Alligator mississippiensis: one gene and its partners. The protein of the gene in region 1 interacts with the protein of each later gene in a pairwise test. Links are inferred from orthologs where the notes say so. Each region holds a gene or a part of one and is shown in the gene's direction. Other genes may lie near its edges. The genes, in order: RNF5, INSIG2, YIPF2 and UBE2W.

Region 1 (6,839 bases):
GCAACATACCCACACAGTGTAGAGCTACGCTTTGCTCAAACATGCTGCGTGAGTGTGAAACAAGCATTTCTCTGCTACTTGTCAAACACCGTGTGCATTTGCGTATAACAAGCAGTTCTATGCTCATTGCTTGCTCAAATGCATGTTTGTGTGCAACACACACTATTTACTCAGTGTGTGTGTGCATGCATATAAGCAGAACTATGCTATCAGTGCTTGCTCAAACACTCATGTATACACACACCTGCAGCATACTGTTACACTACCATTTGCACGCACACACACACACACACACACACACACACACACACACAGTGACCATGTGTCCACAACACACACACACACACACACTGGACCAAGCTACACTATTTGCTCAAACCCACTGCATGTGTGCATGTACACATGCACAAGTGAGTGCACGTAACTTTGTACGCTAGTGCAACTGTGGCAGAGCAAGTACATATCACTCACTGCATGCAAAACAATGTTCTCAGTACACGTGGTTATTCACACACGCACACATGCACAGCAAACCGAACCCTGCCCAAGCCCTGTGCATGTGTCAACATGCCCAGAGACACACACCTGCCACACTCCGACCCGGTGCCACACACACACCTCCCTGCCGCAGGGCTGGAAGTTCCCGACACACATGTAGGCGTGCACACGCCTGATCTTCCACCCCACCCTGCACCCGAGGGGGGCCTTGTCCCAGACTCAACCCCAGCCTGGGCCTGACAACTGCAGGGGGATAGGGGCCATGGCAGCACACATGGTAGGCAGGTGAACACATGCACATGGTGTGGATTTACACACACAGCTATGGCATGGGCCGTGGCACGCACAATAGCAAGCCACAGGGAGCATGGGAAACCTGTATGCATGCACAAACACACACAAGAACACAAATACACGCACATGCCACATACACAAATGAATACACTCGTGCACACACAAATACGCACGTGAATACACACACACACACACACACGTGTGAATGGATGGACACATGCACAGAATCCAGGCATCCAACACACACACAGAACCCAGGCACCCAGGACACACACGAGTACACATATATGCATGCACATGCCAGCATATACACATGCACACACAAATACACAAACAAGTACACATTCACATCTGCATGTGAATAGACACACACACACAGAACCCAGGCACCTGGGATACACATGTAGAGGCCTGTGCCCCACACAACCATCACACACACTCACACAAGACTTGTACTTCCCAGCACAGTGCTCCACATCCCTCACATGCCATTACCATCACACACATACACAGACACAAACACACACAACGAGGTGAGCATTGTACCCCCAACAACACCCAAGCATCACACACAGAGTACCCTAGGCCCCACATAACTATCTCACACGCACACAAATTTTACCAAGCACAGTTCCCCACAACTCCCCACTACCATCACACACCCCCCGAGAACTGTACCCCACAACACCTTACAAGTATCTGTCTGTCTCACATATACATGCACACACATGCACGCGTGCACACACACACACACACAGTGGCCTGTACTGCACACAATGGCTCGCAACAACACACACACACACACACACACACACACACACACACAAACTGTACCCCCAGCACTGCACCCCACACACCCCTACCATCACACACAAAAGTGAGAAGTGAACCCTGTGCAACACCCCACAAGCATCTCTCTCTCTCACACACAAATTATTGCTCCCCAGCACAGTACTCCACACTACCCATAACACTCTGCTACCGTCACACACACAGGTGAAAATTGTACCCCTCCACAACACCCTACATCACACACACACACACACACACACACTGCCCTGTGCCCCACACAGCTGCTCACAACCACACACACACAAGAACTGTTTCTCCCCAGCGCACACAGAACCCAGGTGTGGGGATACATACACACAGGTGAAAATGATACCTGCATAACACCCTGCAGGCTTCACACACGCACCAACTGTATCCCCAGCACAGTAACACACATTTCTCCCAACACCCTCCTACCATCACACACACATGCAAACCTGAATCTCATGCATACGTGCATGCACACAGAAGTTGTGCCCCCCCAGGCACACATACCCAGTGCCCCTCACAAGTGCCTGCAACTATCACAGTTGCACACATGCACAACCCCACATCCCTCACAACCCATTACACACAGACACACACATGAAGGAGTAGCCATCACAAACATGTGCAAGTCAGACCCCTCTGGATGCACACACACACATGAACACAACACCCCATGACCCTCAAAGGCACTCATGGTTACCACAGAACAATTGTAACCCCCCCGTGCATGCGCGCGCGTGCACACACACAAACACACACACACACAACCCAGGCATCTGGGACATGGACATACACCTGTCAGGCACCCTGGACACAAATGTACACACACAACCATGGCACCCTGAACACACACACACACAGAACCCAGATTCCAGAACAGGTGCACGCACGCGCACACACACACACACAACATACAGGCATCTGGAACACACACACACACACACAACCCATGTGTCCAAAGCACACGTGTGCACTCATACACGCACAGAACCGAGGCACCTGGGATACGTGCTCACACATGCACACACCACAGGGGTCCAGGTCGCCCAGACCCCACTGGACCCCACGTCCACCCGAACCCCTGAGCCCTGGAGCTGGGGGGGGAGGGGGGGAGCAGGACCAAACCATCGCTGCAGGGGAGTAAAGGGCTGCCCCTGCCAAGGCTGAAGCAGGGTACCACCAGCCCCCCCCCCGCTCGGGGCAGCCCCTCCCCCACCCCGAACACCCCCCTTAGCCCCCATCCCCCAGGGTCCCCCCCCTCAGGCCCCCCCAACCGCAGCCCCCCATCCATCCACCCCCGCACCTGGCCCCGGGTGGTGCGGGTGGGGGCGCTCAGGGCGGCGGGCCGGGCCGGGCCATGGCGGCAGAGGATGCTCGGGGAGGGGGGGAGGGGGCGGAAAGGGGCGGGGCCTCACACCGGAAGCCGGGGGGGAAGGTTGGGGGGAGGCGGCCAATGGGGCCCGCGCGCGCGCCTGCCCCCGGACCCCGTGACGTCAGCTCCCTCCCGCGTGCGAGCCCCGCCGCCCTGCCACGCCCCTCTACGGACCCCCACCCCAATGGGCCCCGCCCCTTCCCCACGCCCCGCCCCCTCCTGTTGCCCCGGGGGCGGGGCCTGGGGCTGCCTCGGTTGCCATAGAGACGTGGCGGGGGGGCACTCGAGGGACACCCAGGAGTGGGGGGGTGCCCAGGAGAGGGGCAGTTGCCATGGTTACCGTGGCCCCCCAGTGACCGTTGCTATACCAACGTGGCAGGGCGGCCAGTCGGGCCCCAGGGCAAAGGGGGACTGCTGCCATGGCAACGTCGTCACGATGGCGACGAGGCCAGGCCGTGGGGGAGGGTTGCCAAGGTGATGGAGGGTTTGGGGGCAATAGCAAGCAAGGGCAGTCGCCATGGTGACACAGCAGGGGTGCAGTTGCCATGGTGACGGGGCAGGCCCGACCAAGGCCAAGTGATGGTTGCAGGAGTGACAGGACTGGTTGCCAGGGGCGGGGGGTGGCGGTTGCCGTGGTGACGGGGCTGGCAGGGACAGACTGTGGTTGCTCCAGTGACAGGGCAGTTGCCATGGTTCCAGGGCGGCCATTTTGCCTCGGTCTCTCCGGCCGCTGACCGCACCTCGGGCTTCACAGCGGACACGTGTGCCCCGCCCCCACCGGCCTTCTTAGCCAATCAGTGGCCTTTCCCTCGCCGCCCGCTCCTCCAATCCCTTCCGCAGTCCGGAACCGTTATGGGCGAGGATTGGCCTAAACGCTTGTTAATTACAATTACTCCCCCTCAGCCAATCAGTCAGCATGACAGAAAGAATCCAGGCCAATAGAATCCTACATGTCCCTGGGGGTCCCGCCTCACTTATGGCTACTAATAATTGGATTATGGAGCTGTTCATTCAAAGTTTCTCCGCTCCTGCCCGCACCTTACCCCGAAGCGACCAATCACGCGTCGTTTACTCGTGATTGACGGGAGCCGGCACCCATAGGAAGCGGGTGAATATCCTACACGCTGAGAAGCTGGGACCCAAGCCGCAGTGACCAATGAGCGTGAGGCAACGTGTGATGGACAGCAAATCTACCCAGTCAGCCACTGGCAGAGGCGTGTCCTCATCTGGTGGTAATGCCAACTACCCTCCCGCCAATCATATTCGCCAGTTTCCTTGAGAGGCAGCGTCACCGGCCACTGAGCGGGGGGCGCGGCTGATTGGCGGCCCCGCTGGCCAATGGGACCCTTGAGAAGGAAGGCGGTGGCATTTCCCCTCCGGGGGTGGGGCGGAAGATGGCGGCCGGGACAGGCCCGGGGGTCCCCGATGGGGGCCCCGAGGTGCCAAACCGCGACCGCAGTGCGTTCGAGTGCAACATCTGCCTGGAGCCCGCCCGGGACGCCGTGATCGGGCTCTGCGGGCACCTGTACTGGTATGGGGCGGGGCCGGGTGGGGGCGTGGCCTGGGTGGGGGGCTCTCATGGGGTGGGGCAGGGGGAGGGGCCTAGCTGTGGGGGAGGGGAGGGGCCTAGGGAGGGGGCGGGGCGTAGCTATGGGTGGGGGAGGCTGGAGTGGGGGTGGGGCTGGCGCGAATGGGATGGGGGGAGGAAAGGGGTGGGATATGGTTGGGGGTGGGGCCGGGAGGACGGAGGCGGGGATCGGATATGACTGGGGAGTGGTCTAGTGGGTGGGGGAGGGGCTTAGGGTGGGGGAGGGGCTAGCATGGGTGAGTTGAAAGGGGGGGGCCTCAAGGCCCACCCCCATAACACTCCCCCCCCCTCCACACACCTTGCAGCTGGCCCTGTCTGCACCAGGTGAGTCCCTCCCTCCCCCTCGTCCCCCACCGCCCCCGGGGCATGATGTGGAGCAGGTGGGGGAGTCGTGGGGGGTCCCTCACCCCCTCTCCTACCCCCCACGCCGGCAGTGGCTGGAGACACGGCCAGAGCGGCAGGAGTGCCCCGTGTGCAAGGCAGGCATCAGCCGTGACAAGGTCATCCCCCTGTATGGCCGTGGTAGCGCCGGGCAGCAGGACCCCAGGTACGCAGGGTTGGAGGGCATTTACAGGGCAGGAGGCACCTGGCTTCTGCCGCCCTGATGCCCCATCTCTGCCCCTGCCCAGGTTGAAGACCCCTCCACGGCCGCGGGGCCAGCGCCCGGAGCCTGAGAGCCGTGGGGTGAGTGAAAACGGCCACCTGCCCTTCTTTTGCCCCCTCACCCCCAGCTAATACCCTGTGTCTGCAGGGGCCACCACCGCCTGTCTTCCCCGACACTGGCTTCCACATGGCCTTCGGCATCGGCGCCTTCCCCTTCGGCTTTTTCACCACCGTGATGCGGGGCCCTGACGCACCAGCTGGTAAGAGACCCCCTGGCACCCCAAACCCAGGGTCCTTGCACCCTGTTTTGGGCAACCCTTATGCTGGCAGACTCCCACGCCCTCCCCACCCCAGGCTGAGCTCCCCCCACATCAGGATGACTCCCATGGACCCCCCGGGGCTCCCCTACCCCATCCCACACATGCCCATGGGCCCCCTTCTGAGTACCCCCACATGCCCCAGGCTCCTCTCCACCCTCCACCCACCCTACACTGGCACTAGTCCCCCCCCGCCAGCCTTCCCCTCCTCAGTTTACAGCAGTGGGGGCAATTATTTTGGGTGGAGGGCTGCTTACTGAGTTTGGTAAGCCATCAAGGGCCACATGACAGGCAGCTAGGGGCAGATAAATATTAATTTTCTAAATTTTTTAGGGGCACCATGGGCCGGATAGAATGGCCTGGTGGGCTGTATCCAGCCCACAGGCCACATTTTGCTCACCCCTGATTTACAACATCTCTCTCCTCCCCCCCCCAGATGCAGCTGCTGGCCCCCGGCCCTCTGGCTGGCAGGATTCGCTCTTCCTCTTCATTGCCATCTTCTTCCTCTTCTGGCTTCTCAGTGTCTGACCCCCCCCCTCCCCTCCAACGCACCCCTGCCATGGACAGGCAGGGGTTAACCCCTGGAGGGTGGGGCTACAGTATTCTAGCAGGGTTTCCCCTTTGCCCCTCCCCCATGCGTGGGGGCATGATGTAGTGGCCAAGGGGCAGGACTTGGGGGGTTCCCTAAGGGCTAATAGGGGGGAGGGGCCAGTTCAGGGTTGGCCTCTGCTCTCCCCAGTGATCCCCTGCTGGCCGGGCCAGGCCCTGGTGCTCCCTGCACATGGGGTGGGGGGAGAGAGGGCAGTTCTGGGGCATCTGTGAGTGTTTATGGGACAGGGCAAATCAGGGTGACCCCACACCCCCCCATGGCAGGGGGACCAGGGGTGTCATTAAAGCACTGGTGATTCGTACCCTGGGGTATCTGGACTCTCATTAGGGGAATGAGGCGAGAGCAGATAAGACCCCGGGCTGCGGGCTAGGAGTGAGAGACACTGAAAAGGGCAAGGGTAGGATCTACCATAAGTTGTTCCCCTAGGTCTGGGAGTTTACTCTGGACCCCACTACCTGTGCCCCCCTGGGGGGAGTCACTGAGATGGTGAGGGGTTCCCTTGTTTTGGGGAGATGAGGTGGCTGGTTGTGGGGTCCCCCCACCCCAGGGAGCCAATCCAAAGCCATGGAACAGCCTCCCGCACCTGGAAGAAATATATTTTATTACATAAGCCAAGAAAATACAACCAATGGGGGGTAGGGAGCCTCCCGTGACCCCCCGCAAACAACTTAGAGGGTCTGTGCCCCCAAAAACTAGGTGCTATTGGCTGCGGAACCCACAAGACCTCAGCACAGCCAG
Region 2 (7,988 bases), on another chromosome or scaffold:
GTCCATGTAGACTACAATGTCTGCTTTCCATGAGAGGCAACATTTTTAATGCACGCTACCCACACCCTTGACTTTTTCCATCATGACTTTTGCACTGTTGATACAAACATCTGTACGAAGTTCCCAGTTAATCATATTCTTTTGCATAAAACAATTAAGGATATTGAATATAGCCTTGCCTTTTGTACTTGTTTTAAGCAGGCAGCACAACAGCAGGTCCGCATGTAGAAGATTAAAAAGTATAGCACACGATTATGAGCAAGATAGCCAATCCTTCTTCTTTGGTAGATTCATCTAGTTGAATAAAAAACCCAACAGGACTATTTTTTATACAACTACCTCTGCTTGCCAGTGATCAGAAAGATCTTTGATGTGGTGAGAAACTGTATGGTCTGCATGAGGAATAATAGCAATGAGCTTTCTTAATTTTTTCACCCATTGTGCAAGTTAAAATTCCTTTTGTTCATGGCTTCCCTAAATTTTCAGCAATCATATGCACATCATCCACCTTAGCAATTAAAGAACTCACTTACAGGCTTGACAGTACTGTGCTTGCCAGCACCACAACTGAAAGAGATCTGGGGGTCATAATAGACCACAGAATGAACATGAGCCACCAGTACAATGCCATAGCTGGCAGAACTAATCAAACACAGGCGTGCATCTACTGATGCATCTGAAACAAGACTAAGGATGTCATCCTCCCGCTCTACTCAGCTTTGGTGAAACGGCAGCTGAAGTTCTGCATCCAATTTTGGGTGCCGCACTTCAGGAAGGATGTGGAGAAGCTTGAAAGAGTCCAAAGAAGGGCCACGCGCATGATTAGAGGTCTGGAGAGCAGGTCATATGAAGAGAAGCTGAAAGACATGGGACTGCTAAGCCTGGAGAAAAGAAGACTTAGAGAGGACGTGGTGGCAGCCTGTAAGTATATAAGGGGCATACAGCAGGGTCTGGGGAAGCATCTGTTCACCAAGGCACCCCAAGGGAAGACAAGAAACAATGAACACAAACTGATTGAGGATTGCTTCAGATTGGAGATAAGTAAAAAATTCTTTATGACCAGAGTGCCATGGGTCAGGAACAAACTCCCTCCAGAGGTGGTACAGACACCTACCCTGGAGATCTCTAAAAACGTGTGGACGCACACCTTGCTGGGGTCATCTGACCCCAGTTGTCGTCTTCCCTGCCCTAGTGCAGGGGGGCTGGACCTGATGATCTCGTGAGGTCCCTTCCAGCCCCTAACATCTATGAATTTATGAATCCTTCAAGAGCATTTCTGTTGTCTTAACAACAAAATAACATTAGGTAGTGATTTTTTAATAAAATTGTTACATTTCCTTTTAAAATAATCACCATGCATGTCTTTAACTTGTGGGTGTTTTGCCTCCAGAAGCTTTTGTAACTTTGCTGGATTCAGGCTGCTGTCAGGCAAAACTTGTCCACACTCAACACACTGTCCATCTGTCTTGTTTTTATCACCAGTCCAAGTAAAACCATAGTTAATGTAGCTTGCATGGTACTTATGTTTTGGTTTTTGATTCATTGCTCACTGGATAAAGAGCTTGTGACTGATTTGATATGCTGGCACATATAACAATAGAAGCACTGGTAATTACTTCCTGTTGTATTGAAATCTGGCATTTTTCCTGACTACTTTTCTTAACGTTGCCTGTTTTCAGTCACCAATCCATACTTTTTCTTGGTAAATCAAAAATATAAAATATTAAGAGACAGTTCAACACTGCTCTGACATCAAGGCACTTGTCAACTGACTGATTGAAATACGACGACGCAGAGACAGAATAATCACATTGGAACACCAGGCCTACATTGCTGCCAGATTTCGATCATGTACCTCTGTTTGTAAACTGTCCATCAAAACAAGGCGGGCAAATCTCATATCGTATTATTGTCCTATGAATAAAACATATGGCATGGATCGTCTCAGCAGAAAGGGTTAGAAAGACTGAGTTAATGTTTTTTTATCAATAAGTCACCATTGGCGGTGCGTAGAAGGTGCATGAGGGTACACGTGCACCCCCCTGAGATTGGCTGCTGCTGATGGCGTCTGCGGGGTAGCCACTCACCATCCAGCCCCCACTGCCGACGCTGCCGGCGGCGTCTGCGGGTGGTCACCAATAGCCACCCCCCCACCTCACCGCCGCGGCCACCTGCCAGGGTCCCCATTCAGCCTGCCGTCACTGCTGACATCACTGTGGCTGCCTGCAGGAGGTCCCCACTCGCCACCGCCGCTGACACCGCCACCTGTGGGCGATCACCGTGCCTCCCCCAGCCTCAGGAGGCACGAGGTGGTCATGTAAGTGAAACACAAGAGTCAAATTGCAAAATTTCAAAAAATAATTAACAATAAGTATATTTTACAAACTTGTCTGCTATTACCAATTTTTTTCCATGGAGCCCCCAAGACCTCCTCCTGGAACCCCAGGTAGAACACAATTTGAAAACCACTGATCGAAAACACTGGCCTCTCTCTTGCATCTAATCTCATTTGAGTCAATGCAACTGGGTTTAAGAGAAATCACTGGTGCTGCAGTGGATGTAAAGAGCTTGTGTGTGTGCATGTGTGTGTGTGTTTAGCTATTCACATGATCAGGGCATTTAGTGCTTATGTTATGATTTATTTGCACTTTTATTACAGCAGTTCTTCAGGATCATTTCTTTGCTGCTTTATGTTTTAGTGTTATTCATTCTTTACATAATCATTTCTCTTCTCACCCGTGTTGTTACTTCATGGTGGTTTCCTCATTCCCGTAGTTCTCAAACTTTTTAGACTCAAGGTATCTCTCATTCTGCTCTAGGCAGCCCTCAGAAAACACCAGCTCTTACTTTTTACCCAAGTTTTTGACTATGGAAAAATAACAGAATAATTGTTTTGTGGCAAAGAACTCAGAAAGCCCACAGCAAGTCAGAATCTTTTCAACACTATGGATGCCTATTTGAAATCTCTGGGTTTATCGTGTGAATCACATCTGCACACCTAAGGGTGCTAACGTTGCATGGCACCCCACAGCACCCTTGAAAAGATCCAGGAGCAGATTACAGGGAGGCGCAATGGCAGTCACTCCCCACCCTCCTTTAATTCCTGGTCTACCCAAAGTTTAAAATCAACTGCCTGGCAGAGGCTGCAGCATCTCTATTCAGGCAGCAGTGAAGGCATCACTTATCTTCATGCCTCATTATAATCTACCTGATTCCTTCTAAACTTTTCATACCACAGGTGTTAAACAACTTCCTTTCCTTTGTAATGGCCCTTATGATCAAATAATTGAACTATCTTCCTTTTGCAATTCCACTACCTACTAGCTGCTCCTGGTAATGTAGTTCCTATTTCAGAGGCCTGCTGACTGTCTTTAGCTAAAAACATTAACTTAGGCATGAAAATACATTTCAGTGAAGTATTGGTTGCACTGTCATGATGTTCAAGAAGACTAGATTTTGTTTTAGGAAGCTGAAAGAGATCTGTACATATATTTCTAGTGACTACAGGACTAACGAAACACACTCGATCTCTTTCTTTTTTGCCTAGTTTGTTGTGATGTTTTTACGTGATCAGAGCCGTCCCTTGGGGGGGGGGGTGCAAATCAGGACCACCGCCCCGGACCCCATACTTTGGGGGGCCCTGCAGATAGTGCCATTGGCATGTGCTGAGGGCACCATCACGCTGCTCCGGCCACCCCCCCACCCCTGCTCCAGCCGCTCCCAACTCCCTCTCCCCACCGCTCGCCAACCCCTCCACCGCCATGTCCCCCCGCACAGGCTGATATGCCCTGGGCCCTGCACACGCCTAAGATTGGCTCTGTACACGATATACAACACAGCGAATTCATACGCGTCCCAATACGCATGTATTTGTTTTTGCTTTGATCTTCAGCTGAATAATATAGCTCTAGGCCTCTTGTAAAGCTTCTAGTTTTTATGTACCTTAAAAAAAGCGCGTGCTGCGTTCACAGCCAGATCTAGACTTTGAAAAGGTGGGGTGCCCAGGGTGAGGTGCATCGTCACCTGTTAAACAAAACACATTTTTCCTGAAGTTAAAAAAGAAACTAGCTTTTCCAATACACTGGGAACCTAGGGCTGTATGATTCAGTTTCAGGTTAGAGCAGAAACAAATGCAAGGAATTGAAAATAGCCCGCAGGGCTGTGAAATAGGAGCTTCATTACCAGGAGCAGCAAAAACAGGGCAGAGCGGCGGAGGAAAGGCTGGCTTGACCGGGGCAGGCAAGGGTCTTTGGGTAACGTGCATATAGAAAGAGACTCAAAGACCCTTGCCTGCCGATGTCCTTGGGCCAACCAAAAACCTAGCTTGCTGGGTGCGTTCAAAGACAGTTCAAAAGAAGAGAGGGTCCTTAACCCCAGAGGATGAAGACCTCAGATTCAATGAGCCATGATGTCAGGCGACTCCTCAGCGCCGCCCCACCACAAACACTGCTGCCAGGCAGTGGGGGGTTTAAACTTTGGCTGCAGCAGGCACCAAAAGGGAGACCTGACTTTATTTCTGGCTCATTGTCAGGGACCAGATTCCTTCTCCCCCCGGCTGCACTACATGTACTAATGTCCTGCAGCGCCTGCACCCCTTCCTCACACCCCTGGGAGGCCCTGCAGGAGAAGCACCGTGTGAACAAGGCTTCACCCTCTTGCAGGGGGGGACAAAAGCATCCCTCCTTTCCTGCATTTTCAAAAAACCTCAGATCTACCCAAAAAAACTGCCCTGTGCACCACTCCCCCGAAGCAGCTGCTCCCCCCCTCCCCCTCCCCCTTCTCCTTCTCCTTCTCCTTCTCCTTCTCCTTCTCCTTCCAATCCGCCCCTCCCACGTGCACCACTCGACTGCAGCGGAAGCGCAGCTGCCCCGACCTCCCCAGCTCCCCTCTGCCGGCCGGAAGTCCCTCCGCCCCGACTTCCCTCCCTCCCTCTTCCCAGGCAACCGGCCGGAAGTCCCTCCGCCCCGAATCCCCCTCCCTCCGGCCGGCCGGAAGTCCCTCCGCCCCGAGTCAGTTGCAGCGGGTTGAGGCGGGGGAGGGAGAAGATGGCGGAGCAGGGTGAGCGGCGGCGGCGCGGGGGCTTTGGGGGGTGGGGGATGATGCTGAGCGTGGACGGCATCGCCTGTCCGCCGGGGGGAGGCGCCCGGGCCTTGGACACGGTGTCAGGGGCGAGGCTGGGGCAGCCCTTGGCTGAGGGGCCTCCAGCTGGTGGGGGGTCTCAGGCCTGTCCCAGCTCTGGGGAGAAGCCCCCTGCGATGTGGGGCCCTGAGGTGGCCTCGCTGGGGCCCATTCTGCTCCCTCGGCTTTTGAGGGTCCCCCCCGGCCTCGCCTCCTCGCTTGAGGGACACCATCAATTTGGGGAGTCATTCGCGTGGGAGCTGGCGCCAAGTTACCCTCCTTTTGGCAGATGTCAAGCCCCCGCACCGCTCGGCCGTCCCGTGCCACTCGTGCTGGAGGTTGCCCACCCCTGTGCCAAGCGATTGGAGGTGCTCGTGAGGGTGGATGCCGTGACGCGCGGTGTTTGTAAGCCATCCATGGTGGCAGTTAAGTTAATTTGCGCGGCGTGGAGCATCTTGCCTGGTCACGTGTGCATGCCCTCGTGCAAAAGTTTGCGTTGAAGTAGCACGTCGCGGAAAGGATGAAGTGTGGCGAAAGCTGTCTCCTCACAGGCGTTGTCTCTGTCGCTTTCTGCTAGCGCCGTGGCGACGCGTCGGGGGTGCACGTGCACCCTGACTGGCCACGCTCCCCGCTTAGGTGATGGGGAGGGGGGCCTGCAGGGAGATTGGCCCCGGGGGGGACAGCCCCCAGTTGGTGACTGGTCCCTAGGGGGGGCACGTGCCCCCCCCCCCCACCCCTGACTAAGGTGGCTTTGAATTTCCATTTTCAAAAGAAGAAAGCTCAACGGTTCAACCATATTGTAGGTTCAGCATTCAACCTGTGATAGCCCAGTTTAGACAGGAATAGAAATTTGGGATGAAATGTAACAAGACTTCAATTATCCTGTGTGTGTGATACCTTCATACTTCCTATTCCCAAAGATGTTGTTCATAATTGACTCAAAAGATCTTGATCATGTCTCTCTTATTAGAGGAGGCTAAGTGATAATGCAGTCTGTATACATCGGACCTATGTGAGGATCGTGGTGCAAACCCTGAAAGGTACCGAGTTGGTTGTTAACTCTTCTTTACAGGTGGAGGAGCTGAGGAGCAGAAGTAAGGTGACTCACTATGAAGTGCTACAAAAAGTCAGCGTAGGATTAGAATTAATGAATCTCGGGGGCGTATTCTCCTGCTTAAACAATACACTGTGGTAGTAGCTCAAGAAAAGATGCTGGCTTTTACAAGCACATTCACAATGTGTATTGCTGCATTTGCACTAGAAATTTCATTAATCAGAGCAGTTAGATAAAATTATTTGAGCTTGGTATAGAGCAGAGGTTCTCAACCTGTGGTCTGTGGACCACCGCTGGTCCGTGAGCTCCATTCGGGTGGTCTGCAGAAAGGTTGTGGAACAATTGAGAATATCTGTACTTGGCCCTGCACTTGATTTATTTTTTCTGACGACAGAGATTAAGTCGTCCGCTGATAGCCTCAGCACTTTTCAAGTGGTCTGTGAAAAGAAAAGTTTGAGAACCACTGGTTTAGAGTTTGCTTTGTTAGTAGCATGATTACAGGTGAATTATAGCTGTCAAGTAACTATAACTACAAACTGCTATCCCTTTCATCTCATGCTTTCTGTTGTACTCTTTAAGTTGTGTAGCAATGTCACAGTCTGATTTGGAGGTCCCACAGCTGTTTTGAGGTTGAGTGACTTATTCCACTAATCTAATTTGACACAGGTCACTTGCCACTCTCCCTGTCTTTCATTTTACTTGATTCTCAATTTCCCTGTCTTGTTCTTCTGTCTCCCCCTCTTTGAGGGCAAGCATGATGTGAAATTACAATGGCAGCAATGAAGATAAACTTCCACTTTCTTATTTAAAGGAAAAAGTCTCTTAATGCAATGAAGTGCTGATGCAGTGCTGTTGAAACCAAAAATGTAAGACAGGTTTATTATCTTTCATATCATGCCAGTGATACATAATTAATTAAGAGGATAGCACAGTATCAACAGCAGAGACATGAGTCCTAGGTTAGGGCTGGGCTTTGCTAAGTGAGCTGTCTGACCAGAAAATCCAGGTAAAGTATAAGAGAAAATATCTACGAGAAGCTTATTTTCTATAAACTAGAATATGCCTTGTCTGATTCTCATTCAGTTAACAAGTCACATTAGCAATGAGATCTGTTAATATTCTGATCTGGTTATGTTTTAAACTCATTTAGCACTGTTGGAAATAACACAAAAATTAGGGTGACAACAAATCTCAAGCACTCCTAATAATAGTAACATTGAAAGATGTTCTAAAGAACTGCCACATGAAGTTGGCACATGAACTGCCACATGAAATTGCATGTCCAGTACCAGGTATTTTTAATACATCTTTACAGTTGAAGTAATACAGCAACTGTAGCATGGCAAATATGGTAACTGTTAAGAGAAGAAAGTTATTTTGGATGGTACCTATTGTTAAGAGCAGAGACTTATTTTGGAACTACTGGTCCATTGGCTCAACCTTAATTATATGCTAGGCTTCTGAGCAAATTGTGATTGGAAAAAAATAACTAAAGACTTGGGGATCACATCTGGGCACCCTCCAGCCTGAGTAGCCAGGTACCCATTTACAGCTGGGGACAGTCTTTGGTGAGTCTCAAACTCACATCTCTAGAGCTGTAGCAAAATGCTAAAATTGCTCAGAAACTGTTTCCCTCTGCTAGAGATAAGAAAGCATAAGTGGTGTAAGACAGGGCAATTCATGTGAAATACTGTGTTAAATACCAATTACCTGTGGGCAGGAAAGATGAACACTCACTCAACTGCATTCAGAAAAGTCTTCTAGCATGGTCAGTAGAGAACATTGAGCTTGTTTCTGAGTGGAGACTAAAAGACCT
Region 3 (7,690 bases), on another chromosome or scaffold:
TTGTGCTGAAAATGTTTTAATTTTCCAGATCATTTCTCTGTCGATACAGTGGAAGGAAGGATCCACAGAGGATGTGATTTTGTTAGCAGGAATCACCCCTTTAAGGAAGGGATTTCAAAGCTTAGAGGAGTTTCTTTGCTAACTCTGTTATAGGTGTATGCGTAGGATTCACTATCTGATCATGTAACCTGAATTAATTATTCAAGAACTGTTTGAGGAGACATTTCATATTTGCATGCCTTGCATAAAACTATTTTAAAAACCTGTGAACGTATTCCTAACAAATCAATTTACTTTTAAACAGATGGGCCTATAACTCTTACTAAAACACGCAATGGAAAGACATGATCAAAATTACTGTGGCTGAGCTCAAGCCTCTGACTCAATTCTGAATTGGATGCAAATTTGGCTCCAATAGGAGCATGGAGTTTATCCAGTCTGGGGATGAGACTAGAAATGCTTATAATGGAGTGCTCTACCATGCCAGATTTGTCCCCATGTCACATAGTACTGCTACGCAGCAAGTTATTTGGGTCACAACTAACACCAGGACCTGCATCTGCAAAGCCAGTGATACCTAGAAGCCCCCTCCTGAAGTGTGACCTCAGAGCTACTCATGAATAAATGCTTCCCTCCCTTACATGTTGGGGGCTTTAGACACTAGAAGTATTTTAACACCCTCCTTGCTTTGTTTTTTGTTGTTCTATCTGGGAACCTCTATTTCCAGAGCACCTGACAGACTCCTTTAAATAAAAAAAAAAAAAAAAAAGGCTGAGGGTGCACAAATCAATCTTTTCCCTGGCCACAGCCTGATGTGACTACTATACACACTTGTCATTTATCTTGCTTTTGCTCACCTGGGTCCTCCATTTCTCCAGAGGACAGAAAACTGGGGAGACTAGAACAAGGCCTATTACAAGCTGTGTAAGGTCCAACTTTGCTAAAGAGAACCAGGTTTTTAATAAAGGAACCAAGCTCCCCAAAGTAGAAAGGGAAGCTAGTAAGTGAAAGGCCTGCTTGAGAAACCAGTCAAACAGCATGAAATTAAGCAGCCAGGAGCCATAACCAAATGAGAACAGCAAAAAAACCAAGATGGGAACCCTTGGCTACTAAAGCACCAATTTCCCTTCTCTGTTTATGGGCAGTTACCTCCAAGCTGAGGGCTAGGCAGTATTTTGGCCTTTTGAAAGCACTTTGGTACTGAAAGGACTGAGTGTGTGCGCAAACCAGGACTGCAGTGCTAATGTTTGTTCCCCCCACTTTTTTACACAAGCCAGAGCTGCAGATGGATTTACTAGTGAACTGGCGGCAGCAGCAGCAGCAAGTCAAGATGTCCCAGTGCTGGAATGCCATGCAGAGATTGAGAGGACAGAAAGGAAAGTTCCTGGGTAATATTTACCTTGTGCTTTGTCACTATGCACACACTGCATTTATCTCTAGGTATGTCATGCATGCAACACTTCTGCTTTTACTATTCCATTTGTGTCTTTTCTAGACAAGCTCTTCTGCTTTAAATTCATGGCCCACTTGAATTGGAATAACTTTTCTGGGCAGATGAGCCCTAATCCTCTCTCTCACACACATGCTGCATGCATTGTAGATCCAGGTCTTGACTCCCTGCCCCCTGGCTGGGGAAGCAAGAAGTGGGTGGAGGAAGGCAGCATGAAGCTCTCTCTTTGCCCCCCCCTCCCACCCAAACTCAAGGGCAGTCCAAAAGCTGCTCACTCTCACTCTACTTCCTGGGGAACAGAGAACAGTGACAACAGACCACACCTATGGTTTACCCCCTACCTCTGGGCTTGGGTATGGGGCTCTTGTACCAGCTGGGGAAGCCCCAGCACAGCAGAGTTCTCAAGGGGCCATTTCTACCCCCACTGCATTGTTATGTTGGCTGAAGAGGGCACTTCACAGAGCCCAGAACACCAAGCTGTGTGCATGGGCTCAACCCCTCCCCCCACTGTCAGTGTCTCTCATTCATCTTTAAAAGAGCTGGAGCGTAGGCTGAGCCATCACAATCAAAGAGAATCAAACAGAAATCCCTAGGCAGCAGATGCCTCTAAGACCCCAGCTCCTGCAGTTGCTCAATCAATTATTCAATAGGTTAATAAATCATTAGAACAGGATATTTTAAGAGCCCAACCAGCTCCTGAATGTTGCCTTCTTGTTCCAGCTCAGGTGCAGAACAGCCATCCTGTCTTGGGGAACTCAGTTTATCTTTTGCTTTCTCTGCCACCCCTTCACCAAAAGAGGTAAGTGCCTGTTTCTTTCCCGACCCACTTCTGTTGTACTCTGGGCTAGCAAGAGACACCTTTTTCAGTCTTAGCAGCTCCATAAGGGGCTTCTCTAAATGCCTGTGAACTGTGCACTGCCCGCCAAGTCATAGCAGGTCCATGCCCCTGGGCTGCCTCCAGGTTCAGGGAGAACTGCAGTGGGAATCTCTGCACCTTTGTCTGAGAGCAGCAGTACCAAGGAGTTTTCCTTAGCTCTTTAGCACCCTCTGCTGTTCCCTGAGGAGCTGACAGAAGGCTCAGACTTGGGTTGGGGGCTACAATACAGCTGAGGCTCTATGCAGAGGATAGAAGGCAAACAAGACCAGCCCCCTTGGAAGTGATGCTGCTTGGGCCACCTCCACCCCAAACAGACGTTTTGGCTGATGTTGCCCCAGATGCCCTGGAGCCTCAAATACTCCCCAGTGACCAGGGGCTTTGGTTTCACCTCATTCCAACTATCACAGAGCTGCAAAAGTCACGTGGGCCCTAGCGGATTATCCACCCAAAAGCAAAGGCTTCCCTTTATGACTCACCTGCCCTGCCCCCCAAAACTGGGCTGGGCACTGGGGGCAGCAGCAGCAGCTCAGAAAGGAGCGTGCCTGTACATGCCACCTGTACCATTTTCAAGAGCACATGGGTCCCTGTTACCAGTCTCCCCTCTGAGCACTGGATCTGAACTCATCTAGAAGAGACAGAAGCCCTATGGAGCGACATTACCCTGGAACACCTCTAAGCCAGTGGTTCTCAACCTTCTTCAATTCAAGGCACACCTTGATAGAACCTTGGAAGAGGTCAGCTCTTAGCTTCCACTTGATTTTTCTTACACAAAAATCACGGAGCAGTTTTTCTGTTGCAGAAAACACAGAAAGATCTGAACAGGTCAGAACATTTTGCCACTCTGGATTAATACTTGAAACCTTTCTGCTTATCTTGTCAATCCTGTTTGCATGTCTAACAGCACTAACATTGTGTAGCACCTCTGAAAGGATCTTAAGATGCCCCAGAGTGGTGCAGGGTCCCAATCAAGAATCACTGCTCTAAGCACTGGGTTGGCATGGTACCCACAAGAGGCAAGGCAAGCCCATGGATAACGCATCCCATAGGTTAGTACAAAAATCACAGCAAACGTAAGAGCCTCCGCATCCTCTTTATTGAATGCCAGTGCCACCAAGGCTGGGAAATCAGCATGCAACAAGGCTGAGGGGTCCAACAAGAAACAATCCCATAGTAAAACCTATCTGAGCTTCCATATCCACCCTGGCTCAAGCAACCGCTGCTTGGTTCAGGTTACTGGTTTGTGACCCCCTGAGGCAGTGGCTGCATCTCCCTCTCTGCCTGCTCGATTTGTTCCTCTGTCAGGACAACAGGCTTGTATTTCTCGCCGAACAGTCTCTCATTAGTCTCCGAGTGGAGGTTCTGGAAGGAGATGATGCGGAGCTGCTCTGGAAGGTTCTGGAACTCCTCATCATTGATGTCAGAGTCCTTCATTTTGGCATTTAAAACCCACCAGCGCCCCCAGAACCCCACATCCAGGATGCGGCCTGGAAACTCTGTCCAGCGCGGCTGCAGGTGCTTGCACTGAGCCAAGTACAGGTCGGTCTCTGCGTCGAAAGGGGCCTCATACACCAGGGAAAAGAAGACCAGGCTCTGGTAGCGCAGCTGCCCCCAGTTCCTCAGCTGCATCAGGCGCTGAACGTGGCCCTTGGAGGTGGTGTTGCAGACCCAGGGGGAGAGGAGGAGCAGGGTGCCAGAGGCCTCGAGGAGGGAGGCATCGAAGGAGGTGTCGCTGGGGATGCGGAGGCTGCAGGCGGCTGCCCCGGCCAGCACCGAGAGGTAAAGCCCGGCTTTCCCGGGCCGTTGCCGGGCACCCACAACCACCTCCTTACAGGCTTCCACATAATCGTGCAGGAGGCTCTTCCACCACTGGCCTGCACAGGGGCAGCAAGGTCAGATGCTGCTGGCTATCAAGGGCCCAGCCCACCAAGGGGCGGCGGGTGCCCGCGCTGGGGAAGCCGACGCTCTGGGAGGGACCTGCAGCTACGCGCGGGGCCGGGATTAGAACCGAGAAGTCCGGGCTGCCAGGCCCTGCGCCAGCCCCTCCTCCCGTGGGAACCCGGGCCGCTGCCTCCCCCCCGGAAGAACCCAGGCGTCCGAGCTGCCAGGCCCTAGCCCCAGGAACCCAGGAGCCCTCCCCCTCCAACCTACCCAGGCGGCTAGCGCCGAGCCGCCCCCAGAAGCCGCGCCTGCCCCCCCGATCGAGTCCCGCGCCGCTCGTGGTGTCTGCTACCACCGCCATGGCGCCAACCGGAAACTGTTTCCGGCCGGAGGGGAAGTGGTGCCGGACCGGACGAAACCATCCCGGAGCTCGGGGGGGGGGGGGGCGGTTCCCCTTTCCTTTCCCCCCCCCCCCCCCCCGGGAGTGCGCGCGGCCAGGCCGGAGAAAGGGACACGCAGCACTGGAGCGGGGGGTGCCCGGCTTTGCCAGGACACGTCACTCCTCCCTGTCGTGCTCCCCTTGCACAGCAGGGCCCCGCCTCGGGGTGTCTCAGGAGCTCGCGCCTCAGTTTCCCCCACTCCCCCCCCCGGCCGTAACAAGCCTTCGTCTCCCCCAGGAGCCCGGGGTGCGCTGATGCTATGGCGGCCTCCGACCAGCTCCGCTTCCACGGTGAGCAGGCGGCCGCCCTCGGGGAGGTCCCGCCGGGCCGCGAGGGGACCGGACCCGGCTGCAGCAGGTGTTTTCCCTCCTCCCGCGAGGCCTTGGGGCTCTGGCGCCCCCAGAGCCCGGCCGGGCCCCGCGCCGCCCTCGGGCACTTACTGGGCGGTTGGCACGAAGCAGGGACGGACCCGCTGCCCTTGGCTTCCTGCCTCCTGGGACCGCGGGTACCCCCCGGCAAACCTCCCCCTGCCTCTGGCCGAGAGGCTCTGGCTGAGGGAGCCTGGCGTCTGCGGGGCATCTGCCAGTCCCTCATCCACGCGCGTATCCCAGCAGTTTTCCTGGGAAGGGGCACGGCGCTGGCTGGTGTGCTGTTCAGCACCCCCCCCTTCCCCCCCCCCCCCCGAGCACTTGCTAGCGGCCCTTGAGCCTGCTCCCTTCCTTGTTTTTTCTTTCGTTGCCCCAAATACTCTCGTTAGGTCTTCATAGGTTTGCCTAGTGGAGGGAGGTTTATAGCTCCCGGGTGAGCCAGGCCCACACTCCTCTGGGCATAACAAATAGGTCTGCCTAATGGAGACAGTGTGGTCTGGCAGTTAGAGCATAAAACTGGGACCTGGGTCCTTCTGGCCAAGATAGAAGTACCTTCTGTATCATCGTAACGAGGGTGATGAACTCCCCAGCTCCTTCAAGGCATGACACTGGGAGGGTGCAGGCTCAGGAGTGAGGGGCTGGACTAGGCAGTGGCCCCTGAGCCCTGGGCTGTGATGGCTGGCGCTTTACCCCTGCAGAATTTGATGAGGCCGCCGACCTGCTGGCTGCAACCCCCGATGCAACAACCACCAGTGTCAGTGAGCGGCAGAGCCATGTGGCCCTGGATGTGGGCTCCAGCTATGACGAGAACGAGGAGGGCGATGAGAGCGATAAGACAGAGGTCGGGGGCAAAGCTAGCGTGCATGGGCAGGAGGGTGGCAGGACTAGTCTGGAGGGGAGTGCTGGCTCCAGGTCGGGCCCAAGGTTGGCTGGGGCAGGGAGTGTGCACTAGTGGAATAAAGAGCCCTTCACTTCCCAGCCCTAGGTCCAGATCCAGCCTGGGCAGCTGTGCCTGGGCTGTTCCCAGCTGCTGCTAGCTGTGGAAGCCATCGGGGTCCAAGTAGATCAAGTATTTCTACCTCAGTTGTGGCTCTCTCTGGAGATGGGGCTCCTGCCTGGCATGCTGGGTAATCCCAGTTGCTTGGAGCAGCTGGGGTGGGGTGCACTGGTCTGGGAGGGAGCTGGGCTCACAGTTGGAGGTGCTTGGGGTTCTCTGTGGGTAAGGCTGGTGGGGCCGCGTGGTAACATACATTCCCTTCCTCGCAGCTGCTGAGCGGCCAGAAGCAGCCACCAAGTTTCTGGACCTTCGAGTACTACCAGGCCTTCTTTGATGTCGACACCTACCAGGTAATGGAGCCTGCGCCCTTGTGGGAAGGCAGCATTCTGACACAGGCAGTTAGAGATGCTGGCAGGAATGAGTCCCATAGATTCATGGGTTTCTCAGCTCCCAGAGGCTTTGTACATTATTAGGTATAGTATGGTAGCACCTGAGAGCCTCAGTCGCAGGCCAGAGCCCCATTGCACTAGGGACTGTACATTATGTATTATAATCATATTGGGAAGCCCCCACCTAGGACCAGGATGCAGCTTTGCTCTCTGGTTGCTGCCTGGTGAGCCCAGAAAGCTGCCTGCCTCACTCCACTCCTGCTTTCTTCACTGTAGGTGCTGGACAGGATCAAGGGATCGCTGCTTCCACTACCAGGGAAGAACTTTGTGCGGCATTATCTACGGAACAACCCTGACCTGTATGGTGAGCCCAGAGGGGGTCCATGATGTGGGGCAGGCCAGGGCAGTGCAGGCTGAGCCCTTTTGGCCTCCTGTGCCCCAGGGCTCAGGTGCCATCCGTCAACCAGAGCAAAGCAGGGCATCTTTGGTCTCTGGCTTCTGCCCCAGCCTGGGCTCAAGGTCGCACTACCCTTGGCCTCTTCCAGGGCCCTTCTGGATCTGCACTACGCTGGTGTTCACACTGGCCATCAGTGGCAACCTGTCCAACTTCCTGGAGAAGCATGGCAACACCTCCTTCCGCTACAGCCCCCAGTTCCACAAAGGTGAGGGGTAGGTATGGGACAGGCAGGCATGGGCCAGGCCCCATGAGAACCCACCAGGCTCCTGGGCAAACTTGACCCCTGCCAGGCACAAAGCTTTAAGTGAAAAGAACCTAGGAGTCTTGGCTCCCAGCCCCAAACCACAAGACCTCCTTCCTCTCCCAGTTGTGGGGGGAACCCAGGTGTCAAGGTCCTCGGTTCCCCCTGCTCTAACCCACCAGACCCGTCCCTTCCCACAGCTGGGAGAGAACCCAGGAGGCCTGGACCCCACCTCTTGGCATTTGAGTCTCAGCTTTGAGCTGATTCACTGTTGGCTGCTTTGCTGTCCTAGTGCCTGTAGCATGTACCGTGGGTGGTGGTTGTTGGGGGGGGGGGGGAACAACACAAAAGGCCCCCCCAGCTGGCTGGCTGGCCGGCCGGCCGCAGAGCACTGGGTGACAGGAGCCCATCCATTGGCAGTGACCATTGCAGGCGTTGCCATCTATTGCTATGCGGGGCTGGTGCCGCTGGCCCTGTGGGGCTACCTGCAGTGGCGCAAGGGTGTCTGCCTCAATGTGGCCTCCTACACCCTCCTGGAGACTGTGTGCGTCTATGGCTACTCCCTCTCAGTGTACATCCCTGCCTCGGTGAGT
Region 4 (7,575 bases), on another chromosome or scaffold:
TAAGTCCCTGGACAAATGCTGCCACTATTGTTTGTTTAGCATTTTCGACTGGGTTATCCATTCCTGAGTATCGTTCAAATGCCTGTTTGAGGCGTTCTAAATAGTCACTGGGGTGTTCATTTTTGTTTTGTTTACAGGTATTTATTTTGGTCCAGTCTGCCTTTTTTGGGCAAATTGTGAGAACTGTCTGAACCAAAGCATTTCTCTTGTCAATAAAGTCTTGGCCAATCCCTGGGTTTTGATCTGGCCAAGTACAGGCAGCGTACAGACGTAGCATAGTCTCCTTGGGCAAAATGGATCGCATGAGCTGATTAATGTCAGCCCATGTTGGATTATAACAATTTATAACAGTCTGCAATTCTTCCTGAAATTTTTCTGGGTCTTCCCTGATTTTTGGGAACTTTTGAGTTAAATTGTAGAGATCACCTGGAGTCCAGGGTGCATGCACAGTTACTATATTTTGTCCATCGGTGCCAATGCCTGGCATTTGTCTTAGGGGGTAAACTTGTGCAGTTCGGGATCTCAGATTGATGGGAGATCTTTTCATGCCTATTCCCATTCTTCTAAATACACCTGTGGTGGGTTGTGACCCAGGAGTAAATTGCCACACTGGTGATGATTTAGTGGCAGATATGGTGGATGAGTCCGGACTATTAAGCTCCGTGGATGGATTTACTGAAGGAGCTTCAGCTAATGGGTCACTAGCCTGGGCTGCAGCCTGATGTTGAACCGGTTGTTGCTGATGTGGGAGTCCCAGGAGAGCAGGGTTCGAACAAAGGTCAAGGATATCCTCTGCTGGCTCCGGTGGTGGGGGCGCCCCGGGCAATGCTGGATACATCGGAGCGGTGGCCAGCGTGTAATTTGGGGGAGCAGCCAATTTCTCCCGAACAGCTTTTAACTGCTGTTTTAATTTTTCTTGAGAGTCTTTTAGGCTCCTAGTTTGAGATTCTGTCCGCCTTTTGGACATTTCATCATACCAATAAAAGAACGCGTCCCACTGGTTTTGTGGTGTTTTGGATCCACGGGACTCTAACGCCCCTCTCAAGTGCACTATTTTATCCTGATCAAATGTTCCTTCCTGTGGAAAATGTTTCACAGGATCATCCCTAGTATACCAGTTCCACTTATTCAAGTACTTGCAAGTCACGGGAGAATAGTGTGTGTACATAAAGTACGCCGGAGTCCCCTTAGGGGGGACAGGAACCTGTTTAGACTGACTTGTTCCCATTTTCAGTCACACAGGGAGATGTAGGAGAGGCTTATTTAGGATGTCCGGGCCGCTCAGTGCCTTGCCCCGCAGTTTTTCACTGCCCAGACAAAAGGCTTCTGACCCGACACCGGCTCATAAAATGGAAATGGGGAGGGAAACACTAGAGGGATCCTTTCACTCCTGCTTTCGGCAGAAGCTACTGGGACGAGGGGTTTGGAAAAGACAAAATCACTCAGACGCCCTGTCCACTGGGTCACGAGGTTCCAGTTGGGCCCCCTTGCTTTCAAAACTGCCCTGTCAGGCAGAATTGGGGCGGCTGAGCCCAACCGTAGTCTCAGTCCTGGTCAGTGGCTCATATTTCTAAATACACACACACATGCACATTTATTCAGTCAGCCAGACCTCCTACCCCACACCGCCTTAGTTAATTAACTACAAGCCCGATGTGCTGTTGGATGAAGGTGCCTCAAACAGTTTCTCCCTAAAACGTACGTTACCAGACACAAAATGGGATCCTTTACCAGACAGAAAATTTTAGCCGGCAGTAAGGTTCAGACTGACCTGTTTTAACAAGGTTCAGATCCAGTTATCACGGCCAAGTTGGGAGCCTACAGGCAGTCCTCCTCCGAAACCCCAATAGAGATTTTGAATTAGGTCTCTTACCTCTCAAGTTTGGCGCCTCAGGGTTCGGGGGGGGGTAGCCTGCGGTCCTCCTTCCTCAGCCTGTGTTCTGGATCCGAGTCACGGCACCAGGAATTGTCGTGGAAACACACACAGAGTACTTTTGGGTCAGGTCAGCAGAAGCTTTTATTCAAAAGAAACTACAGCTGTAGGGGGAGTTCCAAAGTGACATGGATTTCCCAAGCACTTGGAAGGGGTCCCCCCCCCCAAGAGCAAAATCAGGAGGCTTATATACTTTTTAACAGTCGCTTACAACTCACGTGATCATATAGTGAAATTAGCATGAAAAGCGGCTATAATATTACTTCATTATTTCTTTGCTGTTATCAGGATGGGAATTATGGGGGAGATAGGGTTAGTTCACAAACCTCCTTCTTGCACCTGGAAATCTACTTTGTACATACTTTTTTTTTCTACCTTCAAGGCCGCGGTGAGCGAAGCATTTGCAGAAGAGTTACAAAGAACAAACACTTGCCCTTATCTGTTCTACTGTACCGAGCCAGCAATTCTACACAAAGCGGTTATGTCATCTTATAACTAAAATAATCAAAGTTTAAGGCATATATTTTTTCTGATTCCACACTGTCATACAAAGGAAAATCTGATTTGCACACTGAGGCGTAGCAGCCTTGCACACACCTCTTATCATTTGACCTTGAGCTAGGTTTTCTGGAACACAGGATTCAAAAGTTGATTATAATGGATTCAAATAATTTTTTACTGTCATTACACCCTTGTTGGCTAACCATCAGTATGTTTTTAACTAAGCACGTGTCTGTTGCCTAACCTTAGTGTTCTTGACATGTGTGGCGTTTTGCATCAAGGAATGCTTTTTAGAATAACATGTATATGTGTCAAATGACTTAATCTAGTGGAACAGTAACAACAATTTGCATTTAATATTTTAATTGCGCAATTTAGTTCAAAAGTAGTACAGCAAACTGAAGGTATTTATACCAATCACTTCAGTGTAACACAAATGTCACCTGGAATTATGATCTTGTCAAATGTTATCACATAAACTTCAGTGGAATCTGCCAGCATGTAGATAAAAGACCTTCAGGTAAAATGTAGGTGGCCAGAGCCTCAGCTTCTATGCATCAGTCCGACTCCAACAGCATCATCAGAGCAGCGCACACTTGCACTAGCTGTGTGTGAGATCTGATGTGCTTTTGGAAGCATTAGTTTTATCATCAGTGTTGGTGGGGCATTACCATGAGCTTGATCATGCTGTGTTTAGAAGGAGGTGATACACGAGAGTTAGAAGAAACTGAGCTAGAAACTGAAATAACTGAGGGTCATCTTTATATTTCCTTTAGTGTAAAGATGTTTCTAGATGTCTTCAAGGCCCCTATCCCCCACACCTTTTCAGTCTCACTTTTAGTAGGTTATTAGTTCCTTCCACAGCCAAGTTTAAATGCATTTACTATTTCCCTGCTGCCTGTAAATCAATGAATGTTGTCCTTTCTGAGACAGCTGATTCACTATAACTTAGCACACTTACTGTTTTAGTTCAAATCACAAAGGTGTTCCCTTTCATGCCCTGCCCCTGTTTTCTCCATTTTCAAAACCTGGGAAAGTAAGCAAATACATTACAGTGATATTATTAGTGTCCAGTACTCAAGAATGAGAACATCAGTGCAGAAACCATTTTAAGGTATCCGGGTTGCAGCCATATTGGTCTAGAGGCAACAGGTATCAGAACTTATGGTAGAGGAGACATAGTTATTCTAATAAACAAGATTTTTGAAAAAAAAATTCTTTAATTTCAAGCTTTTGGGCACAAGCATGCCTTTTTAGGCACAGGAGAAAAGATTGTAAAAGTTCTTCCAGATAGAAATGAAAGTTCATATTTCATAGAAGAGTTAAAGGTGTGCTAAAATCTCCTGTTTGGCAGTTCATTTTATGCAGGTTAGGCAAAACTATTTTAATTAATTAATTAACAGTACAAAAACCTCCCAGGATCGTGCTACTGCTCTAGAAGGGGCACAGAGCAGGTTTTGCTCCTCTACCATTGCTGTGTGGTAAGGTGAGGTAGCTAGCTACGCTAGCATGAAGTTGAGTACAGCACAGAGCAGGGCAGGCCTTTCAGGCCCAGCAGGTGTTGCATGTATCACAGCACTGACTTGTGAATTGTACAATAAATGTCCTGTGCCACCCATCCAGCTAATTTCCCATGTGATATATTGGGGAGCCAGCTACAAAGATGTTCTTGATTTAATGCAGAGCCAATGAAGTAGCTGGTTGCCTCTGAAAACTTATGCCTCCCCAGAACCAGTCTGTCTTTAACCTGGCAGACATTACTTTAATTATGCAAGGCGGGGGGTGGGCTGAAAGAGGCTTATTGCAGACCCGGACCAGCCACACGTTAGAGACCTTTGTGGCAGGATGCATGGCCCCTGGGATCACTGCTCAGCTCCCTTCACCTGTTTGCTGTGGCCTGGAGCCAGATGAGGACAGCCCAGGCCATGCAAAGCCAACCCCCCCCTTGCACAAGCCGTGAAGAAGGCGCAGCTGCCCTCCTTCCTCCAGGGCTCGGGCCGACGTGTTCCGCGGCCCGCTCCTTACACACTGCGCAATACGGTAAGGCGAGGCCGGGCTCCTCGGAAGACAGGGCCTGGTGCAGCTCGAGGCACGTGGGGCTCTGTTCGCCACGGCGCATGCGCGGTGCCCGGGCTGCGGCCCACGTGACCCGGCGGCGGCGGCGCTGCGTCTGTAGCGGTCGGGTCGGCGGCGCAGAGGGGAGGGGGAGGATCCAATATGGCGTCCATGCAGGTGAGGAGCCTGCGGCGGCGCCGGGCCGGCGGAGCTCCCTGAGGGCTGGCGGTGCCAGCGGTTGGTGGTGCGGGGGTGGAGGTTGCTCCCAGGGGCGCCTTCTGCTCCGCAGGGCCGGGCCGGGCCGGGGGTAGCTGGGAGCGCCCGGTGGGGCGGGGCCCTGCGCGCCGTGGGGGCCCCGCTCCGCTCCCCGTCGGGCTGGGCCGCAGCCCGCTGCCGTGGCGGGTCCTTCTACGGCCCGGGTGCTGACCGCGGAAGCGGCGGCGTCTGCGCGGTGCGGCATTGGCGGGGCTGGGTGGTTCGGTGGCTGCTTCCCACGGCTTCCCCGCCCGTCCCTGTCAGGCGCCGGCCTGCAGCTTCTTGGCTTTCCTTTCCAAAGTCCTCCCTTAACTCTGAAAAGAAATGCCCACCCTTCCTCCTCCCACCTGGAACCATCTTCTCAGTTGGCTGGCTTAGGTTTTCTCAAGGTTGTCTCTACTCCTAATCCTCTGGTCCAGCGAAGCTCCTTCCACATAAAGCCTTGGCCCTGGCTCCTGGGATGCCCCATCCTGGGAGGGAAGTGCAAACCAGACCAGGAGCTGTGCACCTGTGTAGGAGTAACAGGAGCTAAGTGCCCCAACCTTAAACTGGGGATGTTGGGGAAACTGTCCTCAGGTTTTGCTTGTGGAGAGCTCTGCAGGAAAGGGGTAGAAGTCCTCTGGTCTTTTGAGTCATTTCAGATGAAAGGGAGCAGAAAGCTTGAACACGCAGCACAGAATATTCCCGATTTAGCAATGCCCCAAGTAATCCACTAGTCCGAGAGACTCGTCAGTCCTTTGTTTCCAGTTTCTTGAAGAGCTGTGTGAGACCATTCATGTTTGAAGTGTTGGATGATTTTATGCTCGCATTTCTTCAAGCAGCCCAGTTTTGACTAATTGCAAAACAGAATTTTGGGGCAATGATCTGTTTCAAAACCTGGTGCAGATATGGGGAAGTATCGATTGTGAAACTTGGAGGAGGCAGTTTGTGGGACTTGAGATGCTAGAGTTCTGTTTCTTTATGCCTTTTAAATGTCCTTCAGGAGCTTGTTTAACTGTCTTCCCACCCATCACCTTTCTTCCTTTTCTGTAAAAGAGGGATAATAATTAAGGAGCTTAGGGAGATCAACAGGTCAAAAGTTACAGTGCTAGTAGTGTATTTTCGTGAGTAATATGCCCCTTATTATTGGAAGGCACCAAGATGGGGGTAGGGGGGGCAGGAATCTTGCCTTGGAGTACAGGTAAGTACCAGGTATCTGGGGATCTCTGAGGCTGGGACTGGGGCTAGCCCGATCTGACTTGTTGTGCAGTGGGGATGGATTCAGCAAGCCGAAACTGGGACTACTTGGCAGGGCAGGGCTGCAGGTTAAATCCAACCCTGAGCGCTGGCTGTACATGGTGCCAGACTGACCACTCTGGATCTGAAGCCATGTGCTGGGTCCAGGACCATGTGGTGGGTTGGACCTGGTGTACCAATTCCAGCTGTAGGACAACCCTATGCACTGTCCCAGTCCAGCATGTGACTGGGGACAAGGACTCTCCACAGGTTGGGAAATTTGGGGAAGAGTGAAGAGCAGTGGCAATGTTAATTGTAGTGGTTCCCAGAACCAGGGTAATTAATGCTACCACTGCTCCACCCTTTCTCCCCCCCCCCCCCCCCCAAAAAAAACCCCCAAACAAACCAGATTTGTGAGGAGTCCTTTTCCTTGTTAATAATGTACACCCCAATTTTTCCCAGTTGCATTTGGGAAAAAGCTGTGGGTTATATGTGAGAAATTGTGGTAATAAGTCTTCTGGCTAATACCTATTTCTTGAAAATATGGTAGTGAGGAAGTTAGTTCTTTTCTTTTTTAATGTAATAAATACTATTCTCTTGGGCATCTGCATTTATTGATAGTATATTATGGACACTACTCATTTCAGTCTTGTTAAGTGTGGAACCTTTAAAATTCTGGGGAATGTTATAAATGTTTTAGATTCTGTTAATTTTTTTAAAGGGCAATTTGCAAGTCGGAAGGGTATGTTTTGATTTAAAACAGGCTCATAAACTTCAAAATTATTTTATAAGTATAATTTTGATGTGCATGTGTGTCTCCAGGTAGTGCACATCTTCCATTCTGGTCCAGTCTTATTTTGTGGTTCCTTAATAAGCACCTCCTGTGTTTTGAAAGACCTGTGAAAGTGGGGGGAACTGATTATACACAAAGCTTTGTCAGGTATTCAAAGTAAAGAAGAAACTTTCATTGTTTATAATCTTGCAGTTATGGCAGTTAATTCTTGGTGCTGCATGCAACAAAAGTAAATAACTCCTCAAAATGCCTCAGATTTTTTGAGATGGATGCAATTTCCTTGACAAAGCAGGAGCATGCTTATTCACTTTAGACTTCTATTTTATTTGATCTTTGAAACTTTTTATGCAGTATTTTCTGTAAATGTATTTAATATGGACATCATCTCTGTTCCAGTCATTTAAAGGTGATCTCCAAAATAGAAAATATGGGCTTGTGTTTTTTTGTTTTTAATTTTTTGGCATTTTAAGATGTACATGGATGGTCTGAAATATGTTGTTTTTATTTTCCCCCTCTTCGCCTTTTGTTTTTATCCTGATAGTTGGGCTATGTTTGGACAATGAAGGATCTGACATGAAGCTTGGAGAGTGAAACTGGAGTAACTAAAAGCAAACAATAATTAAAAATGACTTTGTGTAGTGACCAGTGTTTTAGGGAGAGGAAAAAGTCTGCTAAAATTCAATAACCCAGTCACTTACCTTAAATTATGAAAGCTACCAGAGATTTTTAAACCCTCAGCACATGCAGCAAAATTAGGGAAGATCAAGAGTTTTGTGAATTAAACACAGAAATATTAGCAATGTTAAAAAAAAAGAAAAAAAGA

Evidence for each region.
Region 2: the proteins of RNF5 (region 1) and INSIG2 interact in binary tests that used the Homo sapiens proteins (3 or more experiments, as listed by UniProt). The two-hybrid records come from large-scale screens. The link is inferred for Alligator mississippiensis from reciprocal best matches to the Homo sapiens genes RNF5 and INSIG2.
Region 3: the proteins of RNF5 (region 1) and YIPF2 interact in binary tests that used the Homo sapiens proteins (3 or more experiments, as listed by UniProt). The two-hybrid records come from large-scale screens. The link is inferred for Alligator mississippiensis from reciprocal best matches to the Homo sapiens genes RNF5 and YIPF2.
Region 4: the proteins of RNF5 (region 1) and UBE2W interact in binary tests that used the Homo sapiens proteins (3 or more experiments, as listed by UniProt). The link is inferred for Alligator mississippiensis from reciprocal best matches to the Homo sapiens genes RNF5 and UBE2W.

What each region holds. Positions count from the first base shown.
Region 1 is NC_081834.1:62,662,353-62,669,191, reverse strand, and holds RNF5 (E3 ubiquitin-protein ligase RNF5), read left to right. Parts: upstream 1-3,827; 5' UTR 3,828-4,377; coding exon 4,378-4,514; intron 4,515-4,876; coding exon 4,877-4,895; intron 4,896-5,005; coding exon 5,006-5,118; intron 5,119-5,200; coding exon 5,201-5,255; intron 5,256-5,322; coding exon 5,323-5,434; intron 5,435-5,927; coding exon 5,928-6,019; 3' UTR 6,020-6,402; downstream 6,403-6,839. UniProt on the Homo sapiens protein: Membrane-bound E3 ubiquitin-protein ligase that mediates ubiquitination of target proteins. May function together with E2 ubiquitin-conjugating enzymes UBE2D1/UBCH5A and UBE2D2/UBC4.
Region 2 is NC_081827.1:242,412,186-242,420,173, forward strand, and holds the start of INSIG2 (insulin-induced gene 2 protein), read left to right. Parts: upstream 1-4,969; 5' UTR 4,970-5,058; intron 5,059-5,413; exon of another isoform or gene 5,414-5,486; intron 5,487-7,988. UniProt on the Homo sapiens protein: Oxysterol-binding protein that mediates feedback control of cholesterol synthesis by controlling both endoplasmic reticulum to Golgi transport of SCAP and degradation of HMGCR.
Region 3 is NC_081831.1:23,571,212-23,578,901, forward strand, and holds the start of YIPF2 (protein YIPF2), read left to right. Parts: upstream 1-4,680; 5' UTR 4,681-4,899; coding exon of another isoform or gene 4,900-4,904; coding exon 4,905-4,935; intron 4,936-5,711; coding exon 5,712-5,854; intron 5,855-6,279; coding exon 6,280-6,360; intron 6,361-6,675; coding exon 6,676-6,763; intron 6,764-6,944; coding exon 6,945-7,061; intron 7,062-7,517; coding exon 7,518-7,684; intron 7,685-7,690. Other genes in the region: TIMM29 (mitochondrial import inner membrane translocase subunit Tim29), read right to left, coding at 3,558-4,198, 4,476-4,566.
Region 4 is NC_081826.1:58,930,805-58,938,379, forward strand, and holds the start of UBE2W (ubiquitin-conjugating enzyme E2 W), read left to right. Parts: upstream 1-4,557; 5' UTR 4,558-4,651; coding exon 4,652-4,666; intron 4,667-7,575. UniProt on the Homo sapiens protein: Accepts ubiquitin from the E1 complex and catalyzes its covalent attachment to other proteins.